Linked DNA regions of Macaca mulatta. The protein of the gene in region 1 purifies or fractionates together with the protein of each later gene. This does not show direct contact. Links are inferred from orthologs where the notes say so. Each region holds a gene or a part of one and is shown in the gene's direction. Other genes may lie near its edges. The genes, in order: ASF1B, CABIN1, IPO4, MMS22L, UBN1, H3-4 and TLK1.

What was found.
Region 2: the proteins of ASF1B (region 1) and CABIN1 purify together in Homo sapiens (affinity purification with mass spectrometry; 3 studies listed by BioGRID and IntAct, counting the BioPlex papers as one, with this or other methods). This does not show direct contact. The link is inferred for Macaca mulatta from reciprocal best matches to the Homo sapiens genes ASF1B and CABIN1.
Region 3: the proteins of ASF1B (region 1) and IPO4 purify together in Homo sapiens (affinity purification with mass spectrometry; 5 studies listed by BioGRID and IntAct, counting the BioPlex papers as one, with this or other methods). This does not show direct contact. The link is inferred for Macaca mulatta from reciprocal best matches to the Homo sapiens genes ASF1B and IPO4.
Region 4: the proteins of ASF1B (region 1) and MMS22L purify together in Homo sapiens (co-immunoprecipitation; 4 studies listed by BioGRID and IntAct, counting the BioPlex papers as one, with this or other methods). This does not show direct contact. The link is inferred for Macaca mulatta from reciprocal best matches to the Homo sapiens genes ASF1B and MMS22L.
Region 5: the proteins of ASF1B (region 1) and UBN1 purify together in Homo sapiens (affinity purification with mass spectrometry; 3 studies listed by BioGRID and IntAct, counting the BioPlex papers as one, with this or other methods). This does not show direct contact. The link is inferred for Macaca mulatta from reciprocal best matches to the Homo sapiens genes ASF1B and UBN1.
Region 6: the proteins of ASF1B (region 1) and H3-4 purify together in Homo sapiens (affinity purification with western blotting; 3 studies listed by BioGRID, with this or other methods). This does not show direct contact. The link is inferred for Macaca mulatta from reciprocal best matches to the Homo sapiens genes ASF1B and H3-4.
Region 7: the proteins of ASF1B (region 1) and TLK1 purify together in Homo sapiens (co-immunoprecipitation; 3 studies listed by BioGRID and IntAct, counting the BioPlex papers as one, with this or other methods). This does not show direct contact. The link is inferred for Macaca mulatta from reciprocal best matches to the Homo sapiens genes ASF1B and TLK1.

What each region holds. Positions count from the first base shown.
Region 1 is NC_133424.1:14,711,295-14,714,679, reverse strand, and holds part of ASF1B (histone chaperone ASF1B), read left to right. Parts: exon of another isoform or gene 1-760; intron 761-1,300; coding exon 1,301-1,416; intron 1,417-3,385. UniProt on the Homo sapiens protein: Histone chaperone that facilitates histone deposition and histone exchange and removal during nucleosome assembly and disassembly. Cooperates with chromatin assembly factor 1 (CAF-1) to promote replication-dependent chromatin assembly.
Region 2 is NC_133415.1:28,349,091-28,352,590, forward strand, and holds part of CABIN1 (calcineurin-binding protein cabin-1), read left to right. Parts: coding exon 1-264; intron 265-1,397; coding exon 1,398-1,472; intron 1,473-3,500. UniProt on the Homo sapiens protein: May be required for replication-independent chromatin assembly. May serve as a negative regulator of T-cell receptor (TCR) signaling via inhibition of calcineurin. Inhibition of activated calcineurin is dependent on both PKC and calcium signals.
Region 3 is NC_133412.1:97,305,763-97,310,042, reverse strand, and holds the start of IPO4 (importin-4), read left to right. Parts: upstream 1-1,480; 5' UTR 1,481-1,509; coding exon 1,510-1,578; intron 1,579-1,659; coding exon 1,660-1,746; intron 1,747-1,874; coding exon 1,875-1,954; intron 1,955-2,040; coding exon 2,041-2,082; intron 2,083-2,499; coding exon 2,500-2,629; intron 2,630-2,716; coding exon 2,717-2,896; intron 2,897-3,144; coding exon 3,145-3,210; intron 3,211-3,311; coding exon 3,312-3,413; coding exon of another isoform or gene 3,414-3,424; intron 3,425-3,499; coding exon 3,500-3,583; intron 3,584-3,838; coding exon 3,839-4,003; intron 4,004-4,107; coding exon 4,108-4,161; intron 4,162-4,280. Other genes in the region: TM9SF1 (transmembrane 9 superfamily member 1 precursor), read left to right, coding at 489-882. UniProt on the Homo sapiens protein: Nuclear transport receptor that mediates nuclear import of proteins, such as histones, RPS3A, TNP2 and VDR. Serves as receptor for nuclear localization signals (NLS) in cargo substrates.
Region 4 is NC_133409.1:88,588,266-88,592,475, forward strand, and holds the start of MMS22L (protein MMS22-like), read left to right. Parts: upstream 1-1,410; 5' UTR 1,411-1,572; intron 1,573-1,745; exon of another isoform or gene 1,746-2,098; 5' UTR 2,099-2,174; coding exon 2,175-2,338; intron 2,339-3,261; coding exon 3,262-3,387; intron 3,388-4,210. UniProt on the Homo sapiens protein: Component of the MMS22L-TONSL complex, a complex that promotes homologous recombination-mediated repair of double-strand breaks (DSBs) at stalled or collapsed replication forks.
Region 5 is NC_133425.1:6,139,999-6,143,498, forward strand, and holds part of UBN1 (ubinuclein-1), read left to right. Parts: intron 1-140; coding exon 141-1,358; intron 1,359-2,771; coding exon 2,772-3,006; intron 3,007-3,279; coding exon 3,280-3,369; intron 3,370-3,500. UniProt on the Homo sapiens protein: Acts as a novel regulator of senescence. Involved in the formation of senescence-associated heterochromatin foci (SAHF), which represses expression of proliferation-promoting genes. Binds to proliferation-promoting genes.
Region 6 is NC_133406.1:86,178,103-86,181,539, reverse strand, and holds H3-4 (histone H3.1), read left to right. Parts: upstream 1-1,268; 5' UTR 1,269-1,982; coding exon 1,983-2,393; 3' UTR 2,394-2,937; downstream 2,938-3,437. UniProt on the Homo sapiens protein: Core component of nucleosome. Nucleosomes wrap and compact DNA into chromatin, limiting DNA accessibility to the cellular machineries which require DNA as a template.
Region 7 is NC_133417.1:76,010,108-76,013,607, reverse strand, and holds part of TLK1 (serine/threonine-protein kinase tousled-like 1), read left to right. Parts: intron 1-844; coding exon 845-934; intron 935-2,175; coding exon 2,176-2,268; intron 2,269-3,500. UniProt on the Homo sapiens protein: Rapidly and transiently inhibited by phosphorylation following the generation of DNA double-stranded breaks during S-phase. This is cell cycle checkpoint and ATM-pathway dependent and appears to regulate processes involved in chromatin assembly.

The sequences.
Region 1 (3,385 bases):
CATAGCTAGGCTTACAAAACAGAATTCCCTAATGGAGGTAGAGCTTCGTGCCCACCTCAGCATTCAGGACTGCACTGCCTGGCACTAAGTGTCAGATGGATGGAATAAGAATCTTCTAATATATTTAAGGTTCTGTTTAAAATTACCACAAGGCTGGGCACAGCAGCCCACACCTGTATTCCCAACATGGTGGGAGTCCGAGGCAGGAGGATCGCTTGAGCCCAGGAGGTTGAGGCTGCAGTGAGCCATGAACATACCACTGCACTCCAGCCTGGGCAACAGAGGGAGACTGCCTTGAAAAATAGTAAAAATAAAATACAAGATGTGGCTGGGCGCAGTGGCTCACACCTGTAATCCCACCACTTTGGAAGGCTGAGGCAGGCAGATCACTTGAAGTCAGGAGTTGGATACCAGCTTGGCCAACATGGTGAAACCCCATCTCTACTAAAAATACAAAAAAAAGCCGGGTACAGTGGCTCACACTTGTCATCCCAGCATTTTGGGAGGCCAAGACGGGTGGATCACCTGAGGTCAGGAGTTCTAAACCAGCCTGACCAACATGGTGAAACCCTCTCACTAAAAATACAAAAATTAGCCAGGCATGGTGGCAGGCGCCTATAATCACAGCTACTCGGGAGGCTGAGACAGGAGAATCACTTGAACCTGGGAGGCAGAGATTGTAGTGAGCCAAGATCACACCATTGCACTGCAGCCTGGGTGACGAGTGAAACTCCATCTCAAAAAAGAAAAAAAAAATTAGCTAGGTGTGGCAGCGGGCACCTATAATCCCAGCCACTCGGGAGGCCGAGGTACAAGAATCACTTGAATCTGGGAGGCGGAGGTTGCAGTGAGTCGAGATCGCATCACTGTACTCTAGCCTGGATGACAGAATGAGACTCCATCTCAAAAAAGAAAAATGAGGCCGGGCGCGGTGGCTCAAGCCTGTAATCCCAGCACTTTGGGAGGCCAAGACGGGCGGATCACGAGGTCAGGAGATCGAGACCATCCTGGCTAACACAGTGAAACCCCGTCTCTACTAAAAATACAAAAACTTAGCCGGGCGAGGTGGCAGGCGCCTGTAGTCCCAGCTACTCGGGAGGCTGAGGCAGGAGAATGGCGTGAACCCGGGAGGCGGAGCTTGCAGTGAGCTGAGATCCAGCCACTGCACTCCAGCCTGGGTGACAGAGCGAGACTCCGTCTCAAAAAAAAAAAAAAAAAAAGAAAAATGAATACAAGAGCCTTTCCCTGCCTTGTTGCTGTTGAGCTATTTCAATTCATTAACCCTCCTATGTCTTTGCAGACCTGGAGTGGAAGATCATTTATGTTGGCTCCGCTGAGAGTGAGGAGTTTGATCAGATCCTAGACTCGGTGCTGGTGGGCCCTGTACCAGCAGGGAGACACATGTTTGTCTTTCAGGTAAGAAAGATGAGGCCTTAGGCCTTTAGCTCTTGACTCCTAGAAACATCTTCTTTTACCTGAAATCCCACAGAGTGCTTCAGGAATCAAAAGTTCAAGTTCAGCTGGGCACAGAGGCTCACGCCTATAGACCCAGCTACTCCAGGGGCTGAGGTGAGAGGATTGCTTGAGCCCAGGAGTCCGAGCCTGCAGTGAACTATGATTGAGCCACTGCACTCCAGCCTAGACAACACAGTGAGACCCTGTCTCTAAAAAAAGGAAAAAACAAGTATTAAAAAAACAGAGGCCGGGTACAGTGGCTCACACCTGTAATCCCAGCACTTTGGGAGGCCAAGGTGGCAGGACTGCTTGAGGCCAGGAGTTTGAGACCAGCCTGGGCAATATAGTGAGACCCCAGCTCTACAAAAAACTTAAAAATCAGCACAGCATAGTGGTGTACGCCTGTAGTCTCAGCCACTTGGGAGGCTGAAATGGGAGGATCACTTGAACCTGGGAGGTGGAAGCTACAGTGAGCCAAGACCACACCGTTGCACTCCAGCCTGGGTAATACAGTGAGACTCTGTCTCAAAAAAAAAAAAAGAAAAGAAAAGAGTTGAGACCCTGTGTCAATCAATCAATTAAAAAAAAATTTTAAAGTTCAGGTTCAAATCCTAGTTCTACTGTCAGGAACTATCTGACCTCTCAGAGGCTCTCAGGCCCTCCCTTCCCCCACCTCTGTGTCAAAGCTGCCACTGATTTACAGTCAATTCTCGTTATTCACAAGAGTTATGTTCTATAAAGTTGCCGCGAACACTGATTTAGTGAGTACTGAACCATTGCCCCAGGGTAAATACAAGGTTAGATTGTTGGAAGTCACGTTTTCGTCAGCCAGTCAATACGTAAACTTGTATGTGTGTTGCTGTTGAAAGACACCAGGCCGGGTATGGTGGCACACACCTATAATCCCAGCACTTTGAGAGGCTGAGGTGGGTGGATCGCCTGAGGTCAGGGGTTCGAGACCAGCCTGGCCAACATGGTGAAACCGTATCTATACTAAAAATACAGAAATTAGCCAGGTGTGGTGGGAGAATCGCTTGAACCCGGGAGGTGGAGATTGCAGTGAGCTGAGATCACACCGGTACACTCCAGCCTGTGTGATATAGCGAGAGACTTATCTCAAAAAAAAAGAAAAAAAAAGACACCTTATTTAATATATACTGTGGTTCATTTATGTTGAATTCACAGCCAACAGCACTGTAACTCTCCTGAATGAAGCTTCTCTAATATACATTTTTTCCATAAGGCCTTTTTTGCACCCTACACTGCACTTCAGCACTACCTTTGGGTGCCATCATAGACAGCAAACTCACCAACAAAAAGCACAAAACATGGAAAAAAGGTAGCACTAAGTAGGCTGAGGAAAGGATGCTCATTCACAGTAAGAACTGAGACCAAAAGACAGAGCGTTGCCTTGTTTGACCTCAGGTAGGAACAGGCGTGGTAGGTAACTCTAGCTTTTCCCTGTTCTGTGCATGTCTGCAAGTGACCGTGGAAGCACCGCAGGTATTCATCTTGGGGTTACAAATAAATGTAGCAGGTAGGTGAACTTGCACATATGGATCCCATGAATAATGAATGAGGATAGACCGTAACTCCTAAGTGGCTCTCATGCAGCACCCTGCCTGAGTTGTCAAATGTAGATTCTGGCTGGGTGTGGTGGCTTCCAGCACTTTGGGAGGCAGAGGCAGGAGGATTGCTTAAGGCCAGGAGTTCCAGGCCAGCCTGGCCACATAGCAAGACCCCCATCTCTAGAAAAAATAAAAACAATTAGCTGGGTGTAGGCTGGGCGCGGTGGCTCACGCCTGTAATCCCAGCACTTGGGGAGGCCGAGGCGGGCGGATCATGAAGTCAGGAGATGGAGACCATCCTGGCTAACACGGTGAAACACCGTCTGTACTAAAAAATACAAAATAATTAGCTGGGTGTGGTG
Region 2 (3,500 bases), on another chromosome or scaffold:
AGTGCCCGGCAGCAGCCCACCCCGCTCACCCCAGCCCAGCCAGCCCCCGCCCCTGCCACCACCATAGGGACCAGGGCAGGGGGCCACCCCGAGGAGCCGCTCCCCCGGCTCAGCCGCAAGAGGAAGCTCCTGGAGGACACGGAGTCAGGCAAGACACTTCTACTGGATGCCTACCGTGTGTGGCAGCAGGGCCAGAAGGGTGTGGCCTACGACCTTGGCCGTGTGGAGAGGATCATGTCGGAGACCTACATGCTCATCAAGCAGGTGGGCGGCGGGCAGAGGCCTGGGGGCACTTGTGTGCTGGTAGCATCCCCACTCTTGCCTTTCTATTCTCAAGGAGGGTCTCCCGGGCCTGCCCTTGAGCTGGGTTTTAGGTGTTCTTCCCACCCCATTCCCCACTGTTTACATTCTGCAATGAGCTTTAAAAAGTTGATATTCAGCCTGGAAGGAAGTGAGAGCCTATCTCAGAAACCTTATCACAACCAGCGCAGGGAGTCTGGACCGCTGCTCCCACCGCTGTTACGGGCCTCTGGGCGCATCTTAGGGCATTTCCTTCAAGACTTCTGTGGCTGTCATCTAAAGATGGCTGCAGTGACCAGAGATCCCCTTCTCATTTTGCCTTCTTTTTTAAAACATTTTATTTTAATATATCAAGCACTTTCCTTTTTCTCCGTTTAAAATTATTCCCATAGGAAGAATCTCCAAAACTTTAGTGACTGGCTCAGATGGGATGACCATCCCTGACATACAGTATTCCCTCTAATCATGTCAGTTTGCAATGCACCCCAGCCCCAACTGCCCCATATCATATGGACCTTGGGCACTGAATCTCCAGACACACTTGACACAGCATGGGGCGATCTCCATCAGGCCTGGGATTCTAAAAGGCCTCTCCCACTCTAATCATGGCCCTCTATCCTGCCCACTTACGGGGCAGGTTTTAGCTCAGAAGACTCCCCTCATCCCCTAGCAGCTGAGCCTCAGCTGAATTTGAAGGCTTGGTTGGAGCCCTGAGTCTGCCTGCCAGCTTCAGCTTGTGAGGATGTAAGTAACTCAGCCATAGAAATGAGCTTGGTATAGCCAGATGGGCTCAGAGGAACGGCTGGGTCTAGTCCTGGCACCAGTACCTGGTGCTGTGGCACCTGAACAGGCACCCCCACCTGGAAGATGGATGGGCACCTGCCCCTGCTACCCATGAAGAGCTGGGAGGTAGGGGTCCGGGTGTGGACAGCAGTGGGGACAACTGGCTCTTCAGTGGAGTCTGGGGTGGTGGGGGGCACCCGAGCCACAGGGCATGCCCCCTACCTAGGCTGGTCCGTGCTACATACACAGACAGGGCTGGGGGAGGCTCACCACAATGGCCTGGGCCCCCTGACCTCCGGCATCTCGCTGTTAAGGTGGATGAGGAGGCTGCGCTGGAGCAGGCTGTGAAGTTCTGCCAGGTCCATCTTGGGGCTGCCGCCCAGAGACAGGTAAGCCCAATTTAGCCTGTGCCAGCCTCATCTTGCGGAGCCTGCTCCATGTCAAGGCCCTAGGATGCAGGCTGAGAAATAGTTCCACTTTTGGGACTGTTATTGTGGTGGTCAGCTTGGGCCAAGGGGAGATGAGCAGGGGTCAGCTGAGCCTCCAGCCCATGGCCATGGTGGGCGGGAACTTGACAGGGCCTAGACCCCAGTTCAGACATGCCGAGGGGTCTCCTCACCTCAGCCACCTTTTCTCTATCAAGGAGGATGACCCCTAGCCAGCTGACCTCACCTGGGAAGGTCATTCCTTCTGGGACAGTAGTAGAAGAAACAATGTTAGAGCCAGGCTGGTTAGGAGCCAGGTGGCTGGGTAAAGGTGGAGATGCAGCCTACACAGGGACCCCCCCCTCCATGAGGGGAGGGCATGTAGGGAGCAAGGTGTCCTAAGAGAGGGTAGGCAGGAGTCCTGGAGTTTATTAAGCAGGGAGAAAGCAAGGCAGCCACGCTCCTAAGTGGGGAAGAAGGGGTTGGTTCAGGGGCCAGGCCAGGGCTGGGGCAGGGTCCAAGATATGGCAGAGAGTAGGGAGTGGGGGAGGCCCCTCCTGGGAGGACCCCAAGCCAGGGTTGAGATTGGGTTTGTGTTGAGTCTGAGACTCTTTTAAGAGAGAGAGGCCAAGTGGTCAGGAAGGTCAGGGGCCCCCACCTGGAGGGGCAGTCCAGGCCAGAGACCTGGGGTAAGTGCCCCTGAAGCCATCAGAGGCCAGAAGAGGACACAGGCAGGGCCAAGGACCTTGGCCAGGTCACAGGCACAGAGAAGAGACTTGGGCAGGACAGGGAAGTAGCCAGGAAGGAGAGTGTTCCCAGGGGCCAGCTGGTCAGCAATGCCAGGGCAGTGAGGATGGGGGCCTGATGGATATGGGAACCCAGGGGCCAGGGCTATTTTTGAGAAGTGATGAGGCTGGAAAGGGCTTGAGCAGGAGCAGGTAAGGTGCTGGGTCTGGAGGAGAGAAGTCTCCATGGGAGAAGTCCAGCTTGAAGCCAGTGGGCAGGGTCTGGCTATGAGTTGGGGTGGGGTCTCCACGACCGAAGAAGTGGGAGGGATGGGATCAGATCTCAGTGAGAGGATGAGGCAGGGAGGGGCAGACATGGCAGGCAGAGAGAGCAGGTGTGCTCTGTCTAAAACATAAGCCTCCAAGCCAGAGGTTTGGTGGCATGCCATTTGAGTAGGTGCAGCCTCTTGTCCCCAGGGGTGGCCCGATGCCCCGGGTAGCATCACCCCAGGTCCCTTTGTTCCAGGTCCCCTAGCAGAGGGTTGGTAGCTGCCTTTTGGGTCCAGACAGGCTTCCTCTCAGTGGAATGGGGCCTCAGGCCCCCACCACCTGCCTGGGCTGTTACGTCAGCGGAAGCCTGGGAGGTTCAGCTTTGACCAAGCAGGCTGTGGGCCAGACAGGGCATGCTGTGGGGAGTAGGTGGGCCTGGTCCCCAGCTAAGGGCCAGAGTCCTTGGCAGGGAGTGCCCCAAACCCCAGCAGTCCCCACCATTTCATTGTCCAGCTGGGCAGAGTGCATAGCACAGCTGCCTGGGCCCCAGTGCTGGGCCCAGGCCCAGGTCCACCAGGGTGCCGTGCCTCCTCCACTGGCCCAGGTGAAGCAGGTGGACATGTGAGTGGTGACCACTCAGGAGACAGGAGAGCTGTTTCTGCTTTTGATGTCCTTAAAAAATAGATCCACACAGGAAACCCCCCCACAACCCCACACCATAGTGTGAGAAGAAAGGGGTGCTGAGCTGGCAGGAGTCAGGGCAGGGCCAGACCCCATTTTGCCAAGGACATGCATATCAGGGCCCCTGAGGGCTGGGTGGGCAGAAGTTTCCGTCAGAGACCTTGGAAGATACAGCCTGGGTTATGGGGGTGGCCAGAGCAAGGGGACCCAGGTCCTTACCTTTCAGGTTACCTGCTGCTGGGCGACGCCAGGCCAGGCCCCAGCAGTCCCCTCCCAGGGTGTGGAGGAGAGTGGTGGGGAGGAGGCCCTAATGACC
Region 3 (4,280 bases), on another chromosome or scaffold:
CAACCTGCTGATCCCTGGTTCAGTGGTACCATTCAGAGATCATTAAATGGTTCCTCCTATCTCCAAGCAGGACTGAGCTTGAATCAGTTCAGATATAAGAATGTCTCACTTATAAGGGCCTCCAGAGACATCTCCCCCTTCACCTTCCTGGTTTCTGACTTTAGTGTCTGTGGACATCATGTGGGGTTTAAAGCCCATTTGATGATCCATTTACTTTGTTGAATACCTCTTTGTGCCAGGCAAAGAATGAAGTGGAAAGTAAAATGGATAAGATCCCTGCCCTCAATCTATTAGGGAAGATATTCTTGAAGTGAGAGCAGCTAATCATAGGCAAAAAATCCCCATGAAGCCAGGAGATCTGGGGCAGAGAGTGGAGTGAACTCACTTTTCACAATGACCCAGCAACATGGGAGAGGGTGGGGGCTGGATTTCAGCCCAGCCACTGTGCACAGCCCTTTAATGCTGTGTATCATCTCTTTTCTTCACAGTGCCATCTCTGTAGAGCTGTACTACATCTTTGCCACAGTATGGGGTCGGGAGCAGTACACTTTGTACGGCATCCTCTTCTTTGTCTTCGCCATCCTGCTGAGTGTGGGGGCTTGCATCTCCATTGCACTCACCTACTTCCAGTTGTCTGGGGAGGATTACCGCTGGTGGTGGCGATCTGTGCTGAGTGTTGGCTCCACTGGCCTCTTCATCTTTCTCTACTCAGTTTTCTATTATGCCCGGCGCTCCAACATGTCTGGGGCAGTACAGACAGTAGAGTTCTTTGGCTACTCCTTACTCACTGGTTATGTCTTCTTCCTCATGCTGGGCACCATCTCCTTTTTTTCTTCCCTAAAGTTCATCCGGTATATCTATGTTAACCTCAAGATGGACTGAGTTCTGTGTGGCAGAAGTATTGCTGTTCTCTCCCTTTCTTCATGCCTCCTTGAGCTCTCCTACCAGCTTCTCTTCTGATTGACTGAATTGTGTGATGGCATTGTTGCCTTCCCCTTTGCCCTTTGGGCCTTCCTTCCCCAGAGAGGGCCTGGAAATTATAAATCTCTATTACATAAGGAGTATATATTTGAAATTTTTAAGTTGCCTTTAGTTTTGGTCCTGATTTTTCTTTTTACAATTATCAAAATAAAATTTGTTAAGAAAAAGGATCATGTAGTTGGAGGTTTTGGTCTGGATATAGGAACTCCAGCCCCGCGGTTAAGGGCACGGTCCTTTAGAAAGCCGAGCTGGCCACTGAATGCCCGAAGCTTGAGTTCTCCAACCCAACTTGGGAACTCCCGGCGTGGGGAACCTACATTGCCAGAGCTGGGTTTCCGCGACTCAGCCGGTGCTCAGCATAACGGAAGTGGAGGAGTCGGACCTCTTTGTGGGAAGTGAATTGAATCACCTTGGCAACCCTCGGGGCGTGTGGCAACGCCCTTTCCGCCGGAAGTGGGTGTCAGCGCCTCCACGTGCTGTCCCTCCCCCTCCCCTTTTCGGCCCAGTAGCGGCGGCTCAGCTGCTGCCATGGAGCCCGCCGGCCTGGAGCAGCTCCTACGGGAGCTGCTGCTGCCGGACACCGAGCGCATCCGTCGGGTACGGGAGTAGGCATAACCGGGCCAGGGCGAGCGGGAGGTTGCGGGAAAGACCCGACTCTCACCCCTAGCTTCCCCCCAGGCCACGGAACAGCTCCAGATCGCTCTTCGGGCCCCCGCCGCTTTGCCGGCTCTCTGCGACCTGCTGGCCTCGGCGGCCGACCCCCAGGTGAGACCCCTGACTCTCCCCTCCGAGCTTCCCACTGTACGCCACTGGTCAAGCCCCAATATCCGCCCCCTGCGGTCCGCTCAGCACCCTCCTGCCCGGACCCCCACGTGCTTGTTTCCTCGTCCTAGATCCGCCAGTTTGCGGCGGTGCTGACCCGCAGACGACTGAACACCCGCTGGCGACGGCTGGCGGCGGAGCAACGGGAGAGGTGGGTTGGGCCTGGGTTGGGGCGGGGCCAGGCGGAGACTTTTCTTGGGCAGTCTGTGTACCAAACACCTGCCCACTGTGTTCCAGCCTCAAGTCCCTGATCCTGACGGCCCTGCAGAGAGAAACAGAGTAAGTACCTACCCCCTTTTCTCGGGATCCTGACGACCTTGTCGGGGTTTCTGCCTTCCCTTTCAGTTCCAGGCTGGGACTTGTGGGGCAGGGACTTCAGTTCTAGACCCAAGGTGGAGCGAAAATTTTAAGGCTGTTTTGAAGACTGAAGTTCTTGAGGAAGGGTGACTATGATCTGCCAAACTCGAGTCAGAAGAATAAGACTGAAATTCAGGCTAGTAAGACTGAACTTACCAGATTACATGCCCGCAGTGCTGCTGGGCTCCCTCTGAGCTGCTGTCTCATGTGTCCCAACTTGGTAAAGACCCTGTGCCCACACCTCCTGAAAGTTTCTCTCCTGGCTGCCCCATTGTGCCTGGCCACTGTGTGCAGAGGAAGGTATTGGAGAGTGATAGAGGAGATCTCTCCTGTTTGCAGGCACTGTGTGAGCCTCAGCCTGGCCCAGCTTTCAGCCACCATTTTTCGAAAGGAAGGCCTGGAGGCCTGGCCACAGCTTTTGCAGCTTCTTCAGCACAGTACCCACAGCCCCCACAGCCCAGAGAGAGAGGTACCATCACATGGTTGGCAGGAGGGAGGGACTAAGAGGTGGGATAGACCATGTAAGCTTGCTCTCCAATCCTCTATTCTTGGACAGATGGGGCTTTTGCTGCTAAGTGTGGTGGTGACCTCCCGGCCCGAGGCCTTCCAACCCCACCACCGGGAGCTGCTTCGGCTTCTGAATGAGACTCTTGGTGAGGTGGGCTCTCCTGGGCTGCTCTTCTACTCCCTGCGCACTCTGACCACCATGGCCCCCTACCTCAGCACTGAAGACGTGGTGAGATGTGGGCCCTCGTATCTTTGACTCCCTTTCCTCAGGCCTTCATGTCCTCATCTGTAAAAGTTACAAAACTGCTTTGGATTCTTTACCTGCCTGTGGCCCTTCCTGACAATTGAGAGGGGATGCTGTAGGTGGGCCTGGCTATTATGTCTGGGCTCCTCCTCGCAATTCAGGCTATGAGGAAGCTGTCAGCTGCTGGGGTGTGAGATTAGGCTGCATCATGCTGTCTGTGATGTGTCCCTCAGCCTCTCGCTCGGATGTTGGTGCCCAAGCTGATCGTGGCTGTGCAGACTCTGATCCCCATAGATGAGGTGAGGACAGGTGGGCAGGAGCTCTGTTGGAAGAAGAGTGCAAAAGTGACCAGCTTGGCCCACTGAAGAAGAGCATGGTAACCTTGTGCCTTGTTTGTCAGGCAAAGGCCTGTGAGGCCCTTGAGGTTTTGGATGAACTGTTGGAGTCAGAGGTGCCCATCATCACCCCCTACCTCTCTGAGGTCCTCACATTCTGCCTGGAGGTGAGCCTGGAGTGGACATGGCCCCTGCTACATGCTCTGTTGGGACTTTCCTTCCCTGTCTCTGATTCTTATTATTCTCTGGACAGGTGGCTAGAAATGTGGCCCTGGGCAATGCGATACGCGTACGTGTTCTCTGCTGCCTCACTTTCTTGGTCAAAGTCAAGAGCAAGGTGAGTGAGTGCCCATTGACACACATCACCCCACCCACTCTCTACCCTTAGTCTCACTCCTGGGACTTTCGGTTCATCTCAGGGTATCTAAAGTACTGTGGGGGTTCAAGCCTTGGCCTAGCCTCACCCCAGCTCCTGCCTGGGAGATTGGGAATTTTCTGTCGGACCTTTTATGGCCTGGAAGACTGGAATTTTTAATGTGAGCCCATCCTGGGAGCAGATTCTTAGGGACACTGTTCCACCTTCTCTGTCAAGGCCTTACTGAAGAATCGTCTCCTGCCACCCTTGCTACACACCCTTTTCCCCATTATGGCTGCTGAGCCCCTGCCAGGCCAGTTGGATCCTGAGGACCAGGATTCAGAAGAGGAAGAGTTGGAGATTGAGCTGATGGGGGAGACTCCCAAGCATTTTGCTGTACAGGTGAGATGTGGGGCAGGACAGAGGGGGAAGGTGTTAGGTGGCTGTGGGAGGTTGGGGAGGCAGAGATGGAGTCGAGCAAAGTAAGTCTCCCCATCCTATCTTAGGTTGTGGACATGCTGGCGCTACACCTGCCCCCCGACAAGCTGTGTCCCCAGCTGGTAAGTGTGGCTCTGTCCTTCTGGTGTCCCTACCTCCAAGTGTGCCTAGTCCCCTGAGGCCAAGGACGTTTAGACCCTGGGAGGTGTGAAGGTCTATTTCCACAGGAATGGGCAGGCTC
Region 4 (4,210 bases), on another chromosome or scaffold:
TTGCCCAGGCTGGTCTGGAACTCCCAGTGTCAAGGGATCCACCCACCTCAGCCTCCCAAAGCCACTGTGCCTGCTCTGGCCTGGAGTTTTCTTGTAAGAAGTGGTGTGTGTGTGTGTGTGTGTGTGTGTGTGTGTGTGTGTGTGTGTGTGGAGAGAGAGAGAGAGAGAGAGAGAGAGAGAGAGAGAGAGAGAGAGAGAAGGGGGGAGGCTTAACCAAAGATTCTGAGTACTATGATAAATACAGAGATACTCAAATTTTCTTCTTGAGTTTTGAGTTTCTGTCTTTTAAGGAATTTGTCCATTTCACCTATGTTTATTGGTATAAAAATGTTCATAATGTTCTTTTAATATCCTTGTCCTTTTAATGACTAAATTTCATAGTGATGAAACCTTTTTAATTCCTGATACTGATAATGTGTTTATTTTATCAGTCTGGGTAGAGGGTTTATCAATTATATTGCTCTTTTTAAAAAACAACTTTTGGTTGCATTTATTTCCTTCCATTTATTTCAACTATTTATTATTTCATTCATTTTGCTTGTTTTGGTTTCAATATGCTGGTGGTTTTTTTCTAGTTACTTAAGACAAAAGTTTATTGAGTTGAGTTCTTTCTTCTTTTTAATGTAACCAGGTACTATTACAAATTTTAATGTTTTCGTTTTAATTGAAAGTATTTTCTAATTTTCCTGTGATTTTTCCTGATTCATAGGTTAGTCACAAGTATGATTCTTAATCTCCAAAATTAGAGTTTTTCAGTTATCTATTTTTTTATTTCTAGTTTAACGCCATTATGATCAGACTATATACTTTGTACGATTTAAGTCCTTTTAAAGTTGATGACGTTTGTTTTATGGCTCGGAATGTGGTCTCGCTTAGTGAATGTTTCATGTGCACTTGCCAAGAGTGTGTATTCTGCTATTGTTGGGTTGGTCACCTATAAACGTCAATTAGGTCAAGTCGGTTAATAGGGCTTTCCAAGTTTTCCATATCCATACTAACTTTCTGTCTACTTGTTCCATCAGTTACAGAGAAAATTTACTGTTGCACTTGCCTGCCTCACAGTCCGTGGACAAAAGGCATCCTGCATTCTAACAAGAGTTGCTGGCCCCAGAGCGGGAAGAGGGGACGGCGCGACTGTAGGTGTGAACCAGGCACTCACTTCGCACTCACTGGAGTAAATCTCTTCCCTTTAGCCAGAGGATAAACCCGTAGTCCTTAAATCCTCCTCTCCTCCGCCTCAGCAGCAGTTCCGTTTTTTTTTTTTTTACCAGGCCCCTCCTTCCAGTCGAACGCACCAATTAAAGGTACAAAAAAAAAAAAAAAAAAAAAAGTTTATCTGTACCTTGTCCCGGGTTGACTGACTCTCGCGAGAATTCGTGGAGCTCCGACTGTTTCCGCGCAGATATCGCGAGGCGATTGGTAGCCGGGGGAGGGCTGCGCCGTGGCCCCGCCTTTCCGGAGCGCGGGCGCGCGGTGGCGGGAATTTCGCTTGTTTGCGGTTTAGACCCCACAGATTCCTAGTGGTGGTATGGGTCACAGGAGGTAGATTTCGGAAGCTGGAAGTGTGAGCAGGTACGACAGGCACCTCGGGTAACCGACGCACCGGGTCCTTGTTGCAGCCGGGTGCGCGGGATACTGGCACCCAGCCTTCTCCGCCCGAGTGCTGCCGGGCATGGGCCTGGTGGGTCTCGCCTCCTTGAAGGGTTGAGGTTGGCTCTAGGGACTGGTTTCCTGGTTTCCACCCCGAGCCGGGGAGGGAGCGTTCTCCACCTTGCTGCTAGGAAACGGGCGGAGAGTGGTTTAGAAACCTTGCGGAGGGCGAAGTTCTAGGCGAGCCCGGGACGCTCTGTTCTGCAGACATTTCTTTGCTTTTCACCTTGTCCTGGGCTGCACAGTCCGACCTAGTGGGCTGATTTTGAAGTCCCTGCCACAGCCAGTTGGTTGTGCATTTTGTCTTAAGTTCTGGCAGCCTTGAGGGGCGGAGCGGCAGGGGAGGATTGGGAATTTGGCTTCTGGGTTTGTTCGTTTTTCCTTGCTGCTGGCGGACGTCCTGGGAACTTTCTGAAGTAACCCCCAGTCTCTCGGCCCCCACCTACAGGAATTTCTTCACACCTTCTCTTTGGAGCCCTTAATGATACGACGAACCCCAAACATTTCAGAACATGAAGTAAACAATGGAAAACTGTTCTGCCGCATCGACGTTCCTGACTGACAGTTTAGAGCTGGAGCTGGGCACAGAATGGTGCAAACCTCCTTACTTTTCTTGTGCTGTTGACAACAGAGGAGAAGGAAAACATTTTTCTGGAGAATCCTACCTTTGCAGCGGAGCCCTTAAGCGGTAGGTAAAGCTCAGAGACATTTTCCCTCATCTGATTATTCGCCAGTTTTTTAGGAATGTTAGTTACTTCAGCCCATTTAACTTGGGTGTTCACCAAATCATGTTGTATAAATCAGCTTAGTATATCATAAGGGTACAAATGATTATCAGTTCTGCTGCTGGCTTCTTGGTAAGGGCATATCTAAAGCATTTGGGGTATTAGGGAAAACTTCCTTGGTAACTGATGTGCCCTTACTGTAGGGAGCTGGGCGCTAATTTTTCTTTTACTTAAAGTGAATTCCTAACTGTCTGAGCCTTTTGAAATGGTATTTCCTTCTAAAGGGTGTGATAATATTCTAGAGCTTTCCAGTAATTTTTAAGAAAGACAAACATTTTTTTTATTGCCCCGTTCCTTTTAATTCTACCTATTTTGCTTCGGGCAGGTACATACATATTACAGTAAAACTGCTGTTCTTGAAATATTTTGGTAATACCTGCTGAGGCAGTTTCAGTCAGGAAACTGTTTTTGTTGACTTTATAGTTGTACGTTGTGAGAGACCTTAAATAGAATACCCAACTTCATTAATTGGATACTGTTCTCCAGATAAGGCTCAGAGTAACTGTTAGCAGTTTCAACAATTAAATGTCCCCTCGGAGGATAAAATTCTACAACTGAAGACTACTGGTGAAGACAGGCAGAAATATGTGTTTTAGAACCCGTGTTGATTTTTCCTCTTAATTTACATTACACTTTAGTTGTACATTTTATCAATATAGAAGATTGACATTTTAATACAGTCTAGCTATTGTAATCTTGAATGTGTAAAGTACCAAGGCATTTTCTGACTTTTTATACATGTCATGTATAATATGGATTCAAATAATGTAAAGGTATGGTACTTAGTTTACTTTTTAATGGGATTAAAACATAATTTTCATTTCAGATTGATTTTGAATCTTGATCCTTTACCAACTAATTTTGAAGAAGACACCTTAGAAATATTTGGCATTCAGTGGGTTACTGAAACAGCATTAGTGAATTCATCTAGAGAGCTCTTTCATTTATTCAGGTATTTCTTCGTTTTAACTTTCTGTGAGTGTAGGTGTTGTTCACTTGTGTAAATTACATTGTTGGGTGGCTTCTAATACTGATACTGCAAAAGACCAGGAGAATTGTGCAGGTTGCTCACTTGATTATCTTACCAGTAACGGTAATCAAGCAGCAACACCTGATGAATAATGGTTTTAATGAGTTGTGTTTTATTTTCAGAATCTTTATTCTTTGCATTTGACTTCATGTATTGACAAATATTTAAGGCTTTGAACTATGATTTTGGAAGAAAATTAAAATACTTTTGTTGTTCAATAGCCATAGTGTTTCAGTGATCTTTAGAGTATGATCTTTCCAAATAAATAGTTTAGATTGTGTAATAGAAATATTAATTCTCTATTTGGACAACATTAAAAATTTTTTTAATGAAAAAATTTAAGCATACACAAAATAATATAATGAACATCCATATACCCTCCTTCAGTTGCAGTAAACAACAACTTTTTATTACATTTCCTTCATATGTCTTGTCTCCTCTTCTTTTGATTCTTTTGACTGACTTGTAAGCAAATCCTAGGTATCATGTCATTTCACCCATAAATACTTGAGTATGAATTTCTTAAAAATATGGGCTTTTTAAAAACGATGAGGACAGCTAGGCACGGTGGCTCATGCTTGTAATCCCAGCACTTTGGGAGGCCGAGGCGGGCAGACCACGAGGTTGGGAGTTTGAGACCAGCCTGACCAACATGGTGAAACCCCTTCCTACTAAAAATACAAAAATTACCTGGGCGTTGTGGTGCGCGCCTGTAGTCCCAGCTACTCGGGAGGCTGAGGCAGGA
Region 5 (3,500 bases), on another chromosome or scaffold:
GCTCTCTCCTACCGCTTGTTTTGTAATTATACAGGAAGACCTAGTTTTTTGCGCCTCAAGTTCACGTTTATATCCTCACCACAGGCCAATGTTGACATCTTTGGACCTTTCTAAACATCAGCATTTCTGTTTTCCTTTAGGAATCGTCTACGAAGCCTGATAAAAAGGTTTCTGTCCCATCAGGACAGGTTGGTGGCCCCATTGCTTTGCCCTCAGATCACCAGACAGGAGGCCTGAGTATTGGGGCCTCGAGCAGGGAGCTCCCATCCCAGGCATCGGGCGGCCTTGCTAACCCTCCTCCTGTCAACGTGGAGGACTCGTTGGATGAAGAGTTGATCCGCAATCCAGCCTCCTCTGTGGAAGCTGTGTCCAAGGAATTGGCTGCATTGAATAGCAGAGCAGCTGGGAACTCTGAATTCACACTGCCTGCACCCTCAAAAGCACCTGCAGAAAAAGTTGGAGGTGTTTTATGTGCAGAAGAAAAAAGGAACTTTGTGAAGCCCAGTCCTTCTGCTCCACCACCAGCTAGCTCTCTGCAGTCACCCCTCAATTTTCTGGCAGAACAGGCTCTGGCACTGGGGCAGTCCTCTCAGGAGAAAAAACCAGAGAGTTCTGGCTACAAAGAGCTGTCCTGCCAGGCTCCCCTCAATAAGGGCCTGCCAGAAGTACATCAGTCCAAAGCAAAGCACCACAGCTTGCCACGGACGTCTCACGTGCCCCAAGTGGCAGTTCCCGTGCCTGGCCCCCAGGTCAAAGTCTTTCATGCCGGCACTCAGCAACAGAAAAACTTCACGCCCCCATCTCCGTTTGCCAATAAGCTCCAAGGCCCAAAGGCTTCTCCCCCACAGTGTCATCGTTCCTTCCTGCAGTTAGTGAAGACAGCGGCCAAAGGCCAGGGCTTCCATCCCTCTGCCCCAGCCACCTCAGGAGGCCTGCCAGCCTCCAGCAGCAGCTCTCACAAGACCCCAGCCTCGTCCTCTTCTGCCCTGAGCCATCCAGCAAAGCCACACTCAGTCAGTTCTGCAGGCTCATCTTACAAGAATAATCCCTTTGCCAGCTCTGTCTCCAAACATGGGGTTTCTTCTGGCAGCTCTTCCTCGGGAGGAACACCAGTCCAGAGTTCTGCTTCTGGGAGCCTGGTCCCTGGCATACAGCCTCCCTCCGTGGGACAGGCCACCAGCCGACCCGTCCCAAGCTCAACAGGGAAAAAAATGCCTGTTTCCCAGAAGTTGACCCTGGTAGCGCCTCCAGGCGGTCCAAACGGAGATTCCAGTGGAGGGACCCAGGGAGTGGCAAAGTTGCTGACCGCGCCCGTACCTTCTTCAGTCAGTGGTGTGACATCGTCTACCTCCTTGTCAGTGAGTATCCGGCATAGCAGCCTGCCCTGCCCCACTCACAGGGGCCTTGGGGATGAGGTTGCTTGCCTTGCCCCGGGTGGAGAGAGAGATCTAAAACCACAGGTCAGGTAGGAACAGTGGGCTCAGACGTAGGAAGGGAGACGGGAGACTGGGCTCCCTGTTCTCAGGTATTCACTTTTCTGGTGACAGGAAGCCCAGGATGGCCTAAAGCTTCTTCTGAAGAGGGCAAAGGGAGCTAAAAGACAGCCAGCACCATGCCTCTTCAGAGGCTGGGTCTGTGTGGCACAGAATGAGCCACAGCACTCGCCTTCTGTGACCCCTTGCCTCTCCGTCTCTCTAAACAAGGCCGATGGAGGTGCAGTCTTCTCTCAGTGGAGTCATGTGGGGGTGTTCATGGACCAGGAATAGCAGGACCTTCTAAGAGTGATTCTGTTGATTTTTGAAGGACAGAGTCCAGTAATTTAGCAGGTTCGGGAAGAGGGAATGAGCATTTTTTTTTTTCTTTTTCTTTTTCTTTTCTTTTCTTTTTTTTTTTTTTTGAGATGGAGTCTTGCTCTGTCACCCAGGCTGGACTGCAGTGGCGCTGTCTCAGCTCAACTGCAAGCGCCGCCTCCTGGGGTTCACGTCATTCACCTACCTCAGCCTCCCGAGTAGCTGGGACTACAGGAGCCTATCACTGCGCCCCGCTAATCTTTTGTATTTTTAGCAGAGACGGGATTTCACTGTGTTAGCCAGGATGGTCTCAATCTCCTGACCTCATGATCTGCCTGCCTCGGCCTCCCAAGTGCTGGGATTACAGGCGTGAGCCACCACGCCCGGCCTGTTTTTTTAATATATAAATGAAGTGGTTGCAAAGACAAAATCATAGAAAGGTCTGTTGGAGGTCTCACCTCCTTTCCTGCACCCACCACCCCTGTAAGGTAACTAAGCTTTTTAGTTTTTGGTTTATTTTCTTTTTAAACAAAAGATTAATAAATATATACAAAGGTATATATATATATATATATGTATGTATGTGTATGTGCATAAATATATATACACATACACATGAACATTTATGGATATGTATATTACATTTTTCCCTTCACAAAGGAGGCTTTTGTTTTTTTTTTGAGACACAGTCTGGCTGTGTCACCTAGGCTGGACTGCAGTAGCGTGATCACAGCTCACTGCAACCTCTGTAGGAGACATATTGAATATCCTGCTTTTTAAAAAATTATGTTGCCTGGAATCCATTCCATGTTGGTTCATAAAGACTGTCCTGGGTCCTGTCTTTGGGGCTGCAGGGTCGGAGGGTGCCTCCGAGGGCCAGCTGACATGGATGTGTGTGTCCTCCTTTGTGTTGCCAGGTTTGGTGTGAGTCAGCCATGAACAGGACTGGAGTTCTTACCTCTTGCTGTGTTTCTTCCCTAGAAAGGAGCGAGTGGGACTGTGATGCTGACTGGCTCCTCTTTGATGGCTTCACCCTACAAATCCAGCAGCCCAAAACTGTCTGGGGCCATGAGCTCGAACACCGTGGGAATTATAACCCCTATTCCTGTCCATGTGCTCTCCTTCAGCGCTGACTCCTCTGCCAAAGCAGGGGTCTCCAAGGATGCCATCGTCACAGGCCCTGCCCCTGGGCCCTTCCACCATGGCCTTGGCCACAGTAAGTGCTTCTTTGCTGCCTCTGGTCACTTGGGAACCTCTAGATTGTGGCCAGGGGTCCTGCTGTCATGTACTCTGGTTCCTTTGTTTGAGTCTGGTGTGTGACTGTGGGGAACATCTCCGGGAACTGTGCTGAGCCCCCACTGCCCCTTTGGGTGTGGTGCCCAGACTGGCCTGGCAGGTTGTCAGGGGCTCTTGCCTGCTGGAGCTGCTTTTCCGTGCCTGTCTTCAATGTGTGTGTTTTGTTCTTTTCTCCCCTCCTGTTTTCTCTCAGGTCTTCTGGCTGGCTTGCACTCCAGCCCGCCCCATGCAGCGCCTCTCCCACACGCTGCCGTGCCCACCCATATCCCGCAGAGTCTGCCAGGTAATCACCCGACGGTCAGTGTGCCATGTGCACCATGTGCCTTCGCCCTCTCCACCCCTGGGTGCTTTGCCACTGCCAAGAGTCTTGGTGTCTTTGCCTTGTCGCTGTTGTTTTGGTTTGTCCTTTGAGGC
Region 6 (3,437 bases), on another chromosome or scaffold:
ACTCAGGTCAAAAAAACAAAAAAAGCACGGTGGCCCAGCATGGTGGCTCAAGCCTGTAATCCTAGCACTTTGGGAGGCCAAGGTCGGGGGATCAGTTGAACTCAGGAATTCAAGACCAGCTTGGTCAACATAATGACAGCCCATCTCTCCAAAAAATTTAAAAATTAGCTGGATGTGGTCCCAGCTACTTGGGAGGCTGAGGTAGGAGGGGCCTGGGCAACAGAGCAAGACTGAAAAAAGAAAGAGAGGAGGGGAGGGGAGGGAAGAAGATAAAAAGAAAGGAAAGGAAGGAAGGAAGAAAGGGAGCGAAGAAGGGAGGGAGGGAGAGAGAAAGGAAGGGAGGGAGGGAGAATGGAAGGAAGCAAGTATAGGGCCCACCTCTGCTTCTGGTGAGGGCCTCTGGCTGCTTCTGCTCATGGTGGAAGGTGAAGGGGAACCCATGTGTGTGCAGAGGTCACAGGACTGCACAAGAGAGGAAGCCAGAAAGAGAGGGGAGGGGAGTGCCAGGCTCTTTTCAACAACCAGCTCTTCAGGGAACCAACAGAGTGAGAACTCACCCTAAAGGAGGGCAGGACTCTATTCAGAGGGTGACACCTCCAGGACCCACACACCTCCCACTGAGCCCCGGCTCCAACTTTAGGGATCAAATTTCAGCTTCAGAGTTGGAGGAGATTTGGAAGCTTCCACCTTCTGGTCCTTGATGATAAGAACGTTCCCTTCCTTTTACTATAAGGAGAACATCTTTCATAGGGGAATTCTATTTCTTGCCTTTAAGAAACAACAAGAAATTCAGAATGATCTTCCTACACCTGCCTCTTTTTTTTTTTTTTTTTTTTTTTAAGTGCCTTTATCTCAAAAGAGTTAATATGCCAGAAAGGCATATCTTTACCTTCTTCAGCATCCTAAGGCTCATCTGAGCCATACAGCAAAGGGAGTTCTTTGCAGGTCATAAAAAGTGGAAGACTCCTTTAACTCTGGTTGGATCCCAGAGCTGTATCACTGTGTAAAAGTGGAATGCCGGCTGGGCGCGGTGGCTCACGCCTGTAATCCCAGCATTTTGGGAGGCTGAGGCAGGTGGATCACGAGGTCAGGAGATCGAGATCATCCTGGCTAACATGGTGAAACCCTGTCTCTACTAAAAATACAAAACAAAATTAGCCGGGTGTGGTGGTGGGCGCCTGTAGTCCCAGCTATTTGGGAGGCTGAGGCAGGAGAATTGCCTGAACCCTGGAGGCGGAGCTTGCAGTGAGCCGGGATTGCGCCACTGCACTCCAGCCTGGGTAACAGAGCGAGACTCCGTCTCAAAAAAAAAAAAAAAAAGTGGAATGCCAGCTGGGCCTGGTGGCTCATGCCTGTAATCCCAGCACTTTGGGAGGCCGAGGCAGGTGGATCACCTGAGGTCAGGAGTTTGAGACCAGCCTGGCCAATATGGTGAAAACCCATCTCTTTGTGGTGGATACCTGTAATCCCTGTAATCCCAGTTACTTGGTAGGCTGAGGCAGAAGAATCGCTTGAACCTGGGAGGTAGAGGTTGCAGTGAGCAGAGATCGCGCCATTGCACTCCAGCCTGGGCAACAAGAGTTAAACTCCATCTCAAAAAATTTTTTTAAAATTAATTTTTAAAAAAAGTGGAATGCCGCATGCTGGCTTTCGGAAGGCTCTTCCCACCCAAGTCATGAGGAAGGGAGAAGAGGATTGCTGAGGAGACACGAGGAAGCTTGTGCTGGAGAGAGATGATCTCCACCGCCGTGGCCTACCCGCATCAACCCTTCACAATGCTGGTGCTAGCTCTGGTGGCCACGACCAACAAGCACTAATATAAGGGAGAGGCGGCCGAGTGGCGTGCCCTGTGGACCAATCAGAGAGTAGGGGGCCATCACGCCACCTGAGGCCAGCCAATGAAAACGCGGCAAGCTCTATAAAAGCGGGCAATCAGCTTAGGTCTGGTCAGAGGACACAGCAGAGACAACAGTTTCAAATTCATGGCCCGAACCAAGCAGACTGCGCGCAAGTCGACGGGTGGCAAGGCGCCACGCAAGCAGCTGGCCACTAAGGTGGCTCGCAAGAGCGCACCCGCCACTGGCGGCGTGAAGAAGCCGCACCGCTACCGACCTGGCACAGTGGCGCTTCGCGAGATCCGCCGCTACCAGAAGTCCACTGAGCTGCTAATCCGCAAGCTGCCCTTCCAGCGGCTGGTGCGCGAGATCGCTCAGGACTTTAAGACCGACCTGCGCTTCCAGAGCTCGGCCGTGATGGCGCTGCAGGAGGCGTGCGAGTCTTACCTGGTTGGGCTGTTCGAGGACACCAACCTGTGTGCCATCCACGCCAAACGGGTCACCATCATGCCCAAGGACATCCAGCTGGCACGCCGTATCCGTGGGGAGCGGGCCTAGGAGGGCCATCTCGCCACCTGAGAGGTTGCGCAACGTTCACCCCAAAGGCTCTTTTAAGAGCCACCCACCTGGTCGGAAGAGTTGCTGTAGCAAGCCAGGCTCTTGGGTTTTGGGGGTTCCTTCCGCTGGCCGGTGCTGGCTTACCTAATTCTGATTAGGGTGGGAGGCTGGCGAATCCTGTGTTCACCCTGTCCAGTTAGGAGGCCAGCTACTCATGCGCGTTACCTCCCAGCCTGTCTCCAGTTACAAGTCCAGCTAGTCGTGTGTGGTGCTAACTTGGTCTATCCCTTTAGATAAGAATCATGGTTGGTCTGTTTGGGGACGGGGTGTTGAGGGTAGCGTAACTGGCCTATCTGCAGTTAGGTAAGCAACCCCAGCTAGTTGTGTCAACTCAGCCTATCTACAGTTAGGTTGGAAGGCTGGCTGGTCTTGTGTGTTCTCAGCTCAGCCTCTTTCAAACTGTTACAAGTCCTGCGTGTGTGTGTGTGTGTGTACACACAGCTTCTTTCCAGTGAGGTTACCAGTCCAGCTAGTCTCCTACCTAGACAGCCTGTTAAGGCCAGCAAGTAGTATGTGTTATCTTGGCCTATTTTCAGTTAGAAGTCCAGCTACTTCACCAGCGTGGCAGCTCAGGTCTGTAATCCCAGCACTTTGGGAGGCCAAGGCGGGTGGATCACCTGAGGTCAGGAGTTCCAGACCTGCCTGGCCAACATGGTGAAACCCCATCTCTACTAAAAAGACAAAAATTAGCCAGGTGTGGTGGCACATGCCCGTAATCCCAGCTACTTGGGAGGCTGAGGCAGGAGAACTGCTTGAACCCAGGAGACAGATGTTGCAGTGAGCCAAGATCATGCCACTGCACTCCAGCATGGGCAACAGAGCGAGACTCAGTCTCAAAACCAAAAAAAAAAAAAAAAAAAAAAACAAAGTCCAGCTACTTGTGTGTGTTAACTCAGCCTACCTCCTGTTAATTTAGAAAGCTGGCTAGTTGTATATCTTGTTAACTTGGGCTATCTCCCATTAGGTTAGAAGGCTGGCTAGGGG
Region 7 (3,500 bases), on another chromosome or scaffold:
GATAAAGAATCACGGACTTAAAATTATCTTAAACTTTTTGGTTTATTGCTAACGTTTTAGATATAGTTCTTTTATATGCATTGTTTTGCATATTGGATTTCATTTTTAAATTTACTTTCATTGTGTGAAAGTTCAGTATCTAACTAGGAAAACAATATTGGTTTTCAGTAATTTAAAGAATCAGAGTTTCACTTATTTATTCAAGCACCTTGTTTTTATTTCTTGTGTCCCCTTCTTGTCTTTGTCTTTAGACATACTTGGTTGTGTCTTACTCATTTTGTACCTTTGAGGATATCACATTGCTGTGTATAAAGTAAGGCATAAGATTCAACAGTAACTTTAAGAGTTGTAGTGATAGCATTGATACAATGTTATAATCTGCTTTCAGTGAGTGTATTTTTGAACTAGTGACCAGATAAACTATGAAATTCATTAATAAATTGATATTAAACTACATAAGGGCATGTATTATTGTCCCTAGTACTAAGTTTGTTTTTTGAACTATCCTAATAAATTTTTAATATTTTCCAGAATAATTTATTTGGCCTTTTTTTTTTTTTTTTTTTTAAACAGTACGAAAGCATTAAGATTTCTTTTATAGCACTAGAATGTAAGCTCCATGAGGGCAGGGAATATATTGTATTTCTCACTGGGTCTTATGTAGGAGGTACTTAATGAATGCTTGTTGAATAAATGGTGATTAAAGTTTTCTAAAAGTCACTTATGTTTCAATGTAGGTATTATTCTGATAGAAACTTCTGCAGAAATGTTAAGTAATTGTTGCTAATTAGAAACCTGTTTTTTTTTTTTTTTGCTAATATAAAATTTTTAATAATTTTTTTAGGTTCGACCGAATAGCCCTTCTCCTACTGCATTAGCATTTGGGGACCACCCTATTATACAACCAAAGCAGTTATCCTTTAAAATTATTCAGGTAAATGATAATTAAAATGTTTTTTTCCCATGGCTTCTAAGAAACCATTGACTAACTTACTAACAACTGAGATGTCTGTTTGTTTTATATGTAGTCATAAAGCAGAATTACACATCGAGAAAGATAACAGTAATTACTAAACAAAAACAACGGAATTTGTAGGAAGGAGTGAGAAACTGAAACACAATTTACTATCAGCTTTTTAAACAACCATAACATGTCACTTCTGTTTACTGATTCTTTCTGAACTTAATTTCCAAGTATATGTAATTGATATATTGTGAAACTGCTGTATTTTTTGTAAGTGTACATTAAAGCCGCTCATTTGACTGTATGTATGTAAATACATATATGTGACAAACTATAAAAATTATTTGAATTATTTGTATATTTTCTACACTTACTTAGTTTCATGAATTTTGAGCACTAAGTTCTTCATTTTAATTTTTTACGTGTGGTAGTTTCTGAATGGCACTTTCTCAGACTGGGGTTTGGAAGAGTAGAGTAAATATTACTCTTCAACCTCAGCTTGCCAGTTTATTTCCATTAGATTTTATTTGTGAGGTCATATCCAAACTGTTGTGCATGTATCAAAACCTCTTTCTTTGGATGATCCTGAGGCTAGGATTACAAGTACATTCCTTCATCCACTGAGTAGATCATGAAAGGTTTTGCTGCATGAGATGTTGGTCAAAGGACATAAAATTTTAGTTAGAAAGAATAAGTTCAAGGGAACTATTATACATCATGGGGGCTACAGTTAAAAACAGTATTTTGTGTATATGAAAATTGCTAAGAGAGTAGATTTTAAGTGTTCACACCACGAAAAAAAGATATGTGTTAAATAACTTGATTTAGCCATTCCACAATGTAAACATATATCAAAACATTGTGTTGTATACCATAAATAGATAGGTTTTTACTTATCAATTTAAAACAGGTTTTGCAAAATTCAAAAAAATCAGCTAGAGGAACGTATAGCACAAAGCAGCGGATATATTGAATTGTAATGTGGGACATCAATATTCTAAGTAATTGACCTTTCTAGATGTTTCTTGGTAAGTCTGTAGCGTTTATACATTTGAAGTTATTAAAACTGCACTAAAACTTTTTGAGATTCACTTTACATATGCACACAAATATATTTTTCTTTACCTTTTGAATTTGGAGTAAAGTCTGGTTTTGTGTTTGCTTGAAACAACATATATAATGGAGATAATAAAATAACTTTTTTCATTTAGACTGATCTCACAATGCTGAAATTAGCAGCATTAGAAAGTAATAAAATCCAGGACCTGGAAAAGAAGGAGGGACGTATAGATGATTTGCTCAGGGTAAGTAATGAGTCATAGAGGGGAAAAAATTGAATAAATTATTTGGCAACAGTCAAACTGTTCAGAAAATACTTAGCATTGCAAAAAAAAAATCTGTAGCTAGGCTGGGCGCGGTGGCTTATGCCTGTAATCCCAGCACTTTGGGAGGTCGAGGTGGGCAGATCACAAGGTCAAGAGATCGAGAGCATCCTGGCCAACATGGTGAAACCCCGTCTCTACTAAAAATACAAAAATTAGCTGGGCGTGGTGGCGCACGCCTGTAGTCCCAGCTACTCGGGAGGCTGAGGCAAGAGAATCGCTTGAACCTGGGGGGTGGAGGTTGCAGTGAGTTGAGATCGCACCACTGCACTCCTGCCTGGCGACAGAGTGAGACTGTCTCAGAAAAAAAAAATACTGTAACTAGAACTCAGTAAGCTTTTTCTGTTAATTTAAGTACGTGATTGAAAATACCAATTTTAAAGTGAAATATTTTATTAGATCTTCAGTAAATTGGGAATTGAGAAACTGTTGGAGAACTGGAAGGAAGTTAATAACATTTATGTGACCAACAACCGTAACACAAATAGCCATTTCATGTTAAAGTTTTTGATTTTACTATATGCCTGACATCTGATACCGATAGGATGAAGTAACTGCTGCAGTTCTGAAGGATTTTTAATGGAAGCTTTATTTAAAAATACATCTAGAAGTATACTTATAATGTAAGGGTTTAAAGCAGCAGTTCTTACCCTTGATGCTCCTTAGACTCACCAGTTGGGAAGGGTGAAAGAACTAATGCCTGAACTCTACCCTGAGAGGTTCTGATCAAGTTGATGACATGATGTGGGCTTGGACATTGGTAGTTTTAAAGGCTCTCCTGGATAATTCTAATGTAAGCCAGAATTGAGAACTACTGGTATAGAAACTCAATAAAACCAACACCTGTGATCCTACTGTGTTTGTCAGTACCTTTAAAACATCCAGTGTGTCTTTTTCCTGATCCTGTCATACTTACTTTCTCACATCCATTTACCATTTAACCACTATTTTAAATTTTGTGTTTGTCATGCCTTGGTGTTTCTTTATGGTTGTATTAAATATGTGCTTACATTCTTAACAATATATTATTTCATTTGGTTTTTGAACGTTAAATGAAATTTTCCGGTATGGACCCTTTTGCCCAGCTTGTTTTCACTGAATGTTATATATCATAGAGTCGTCCACTTTGATGAGTATAACTGTAGTTTGTTCAT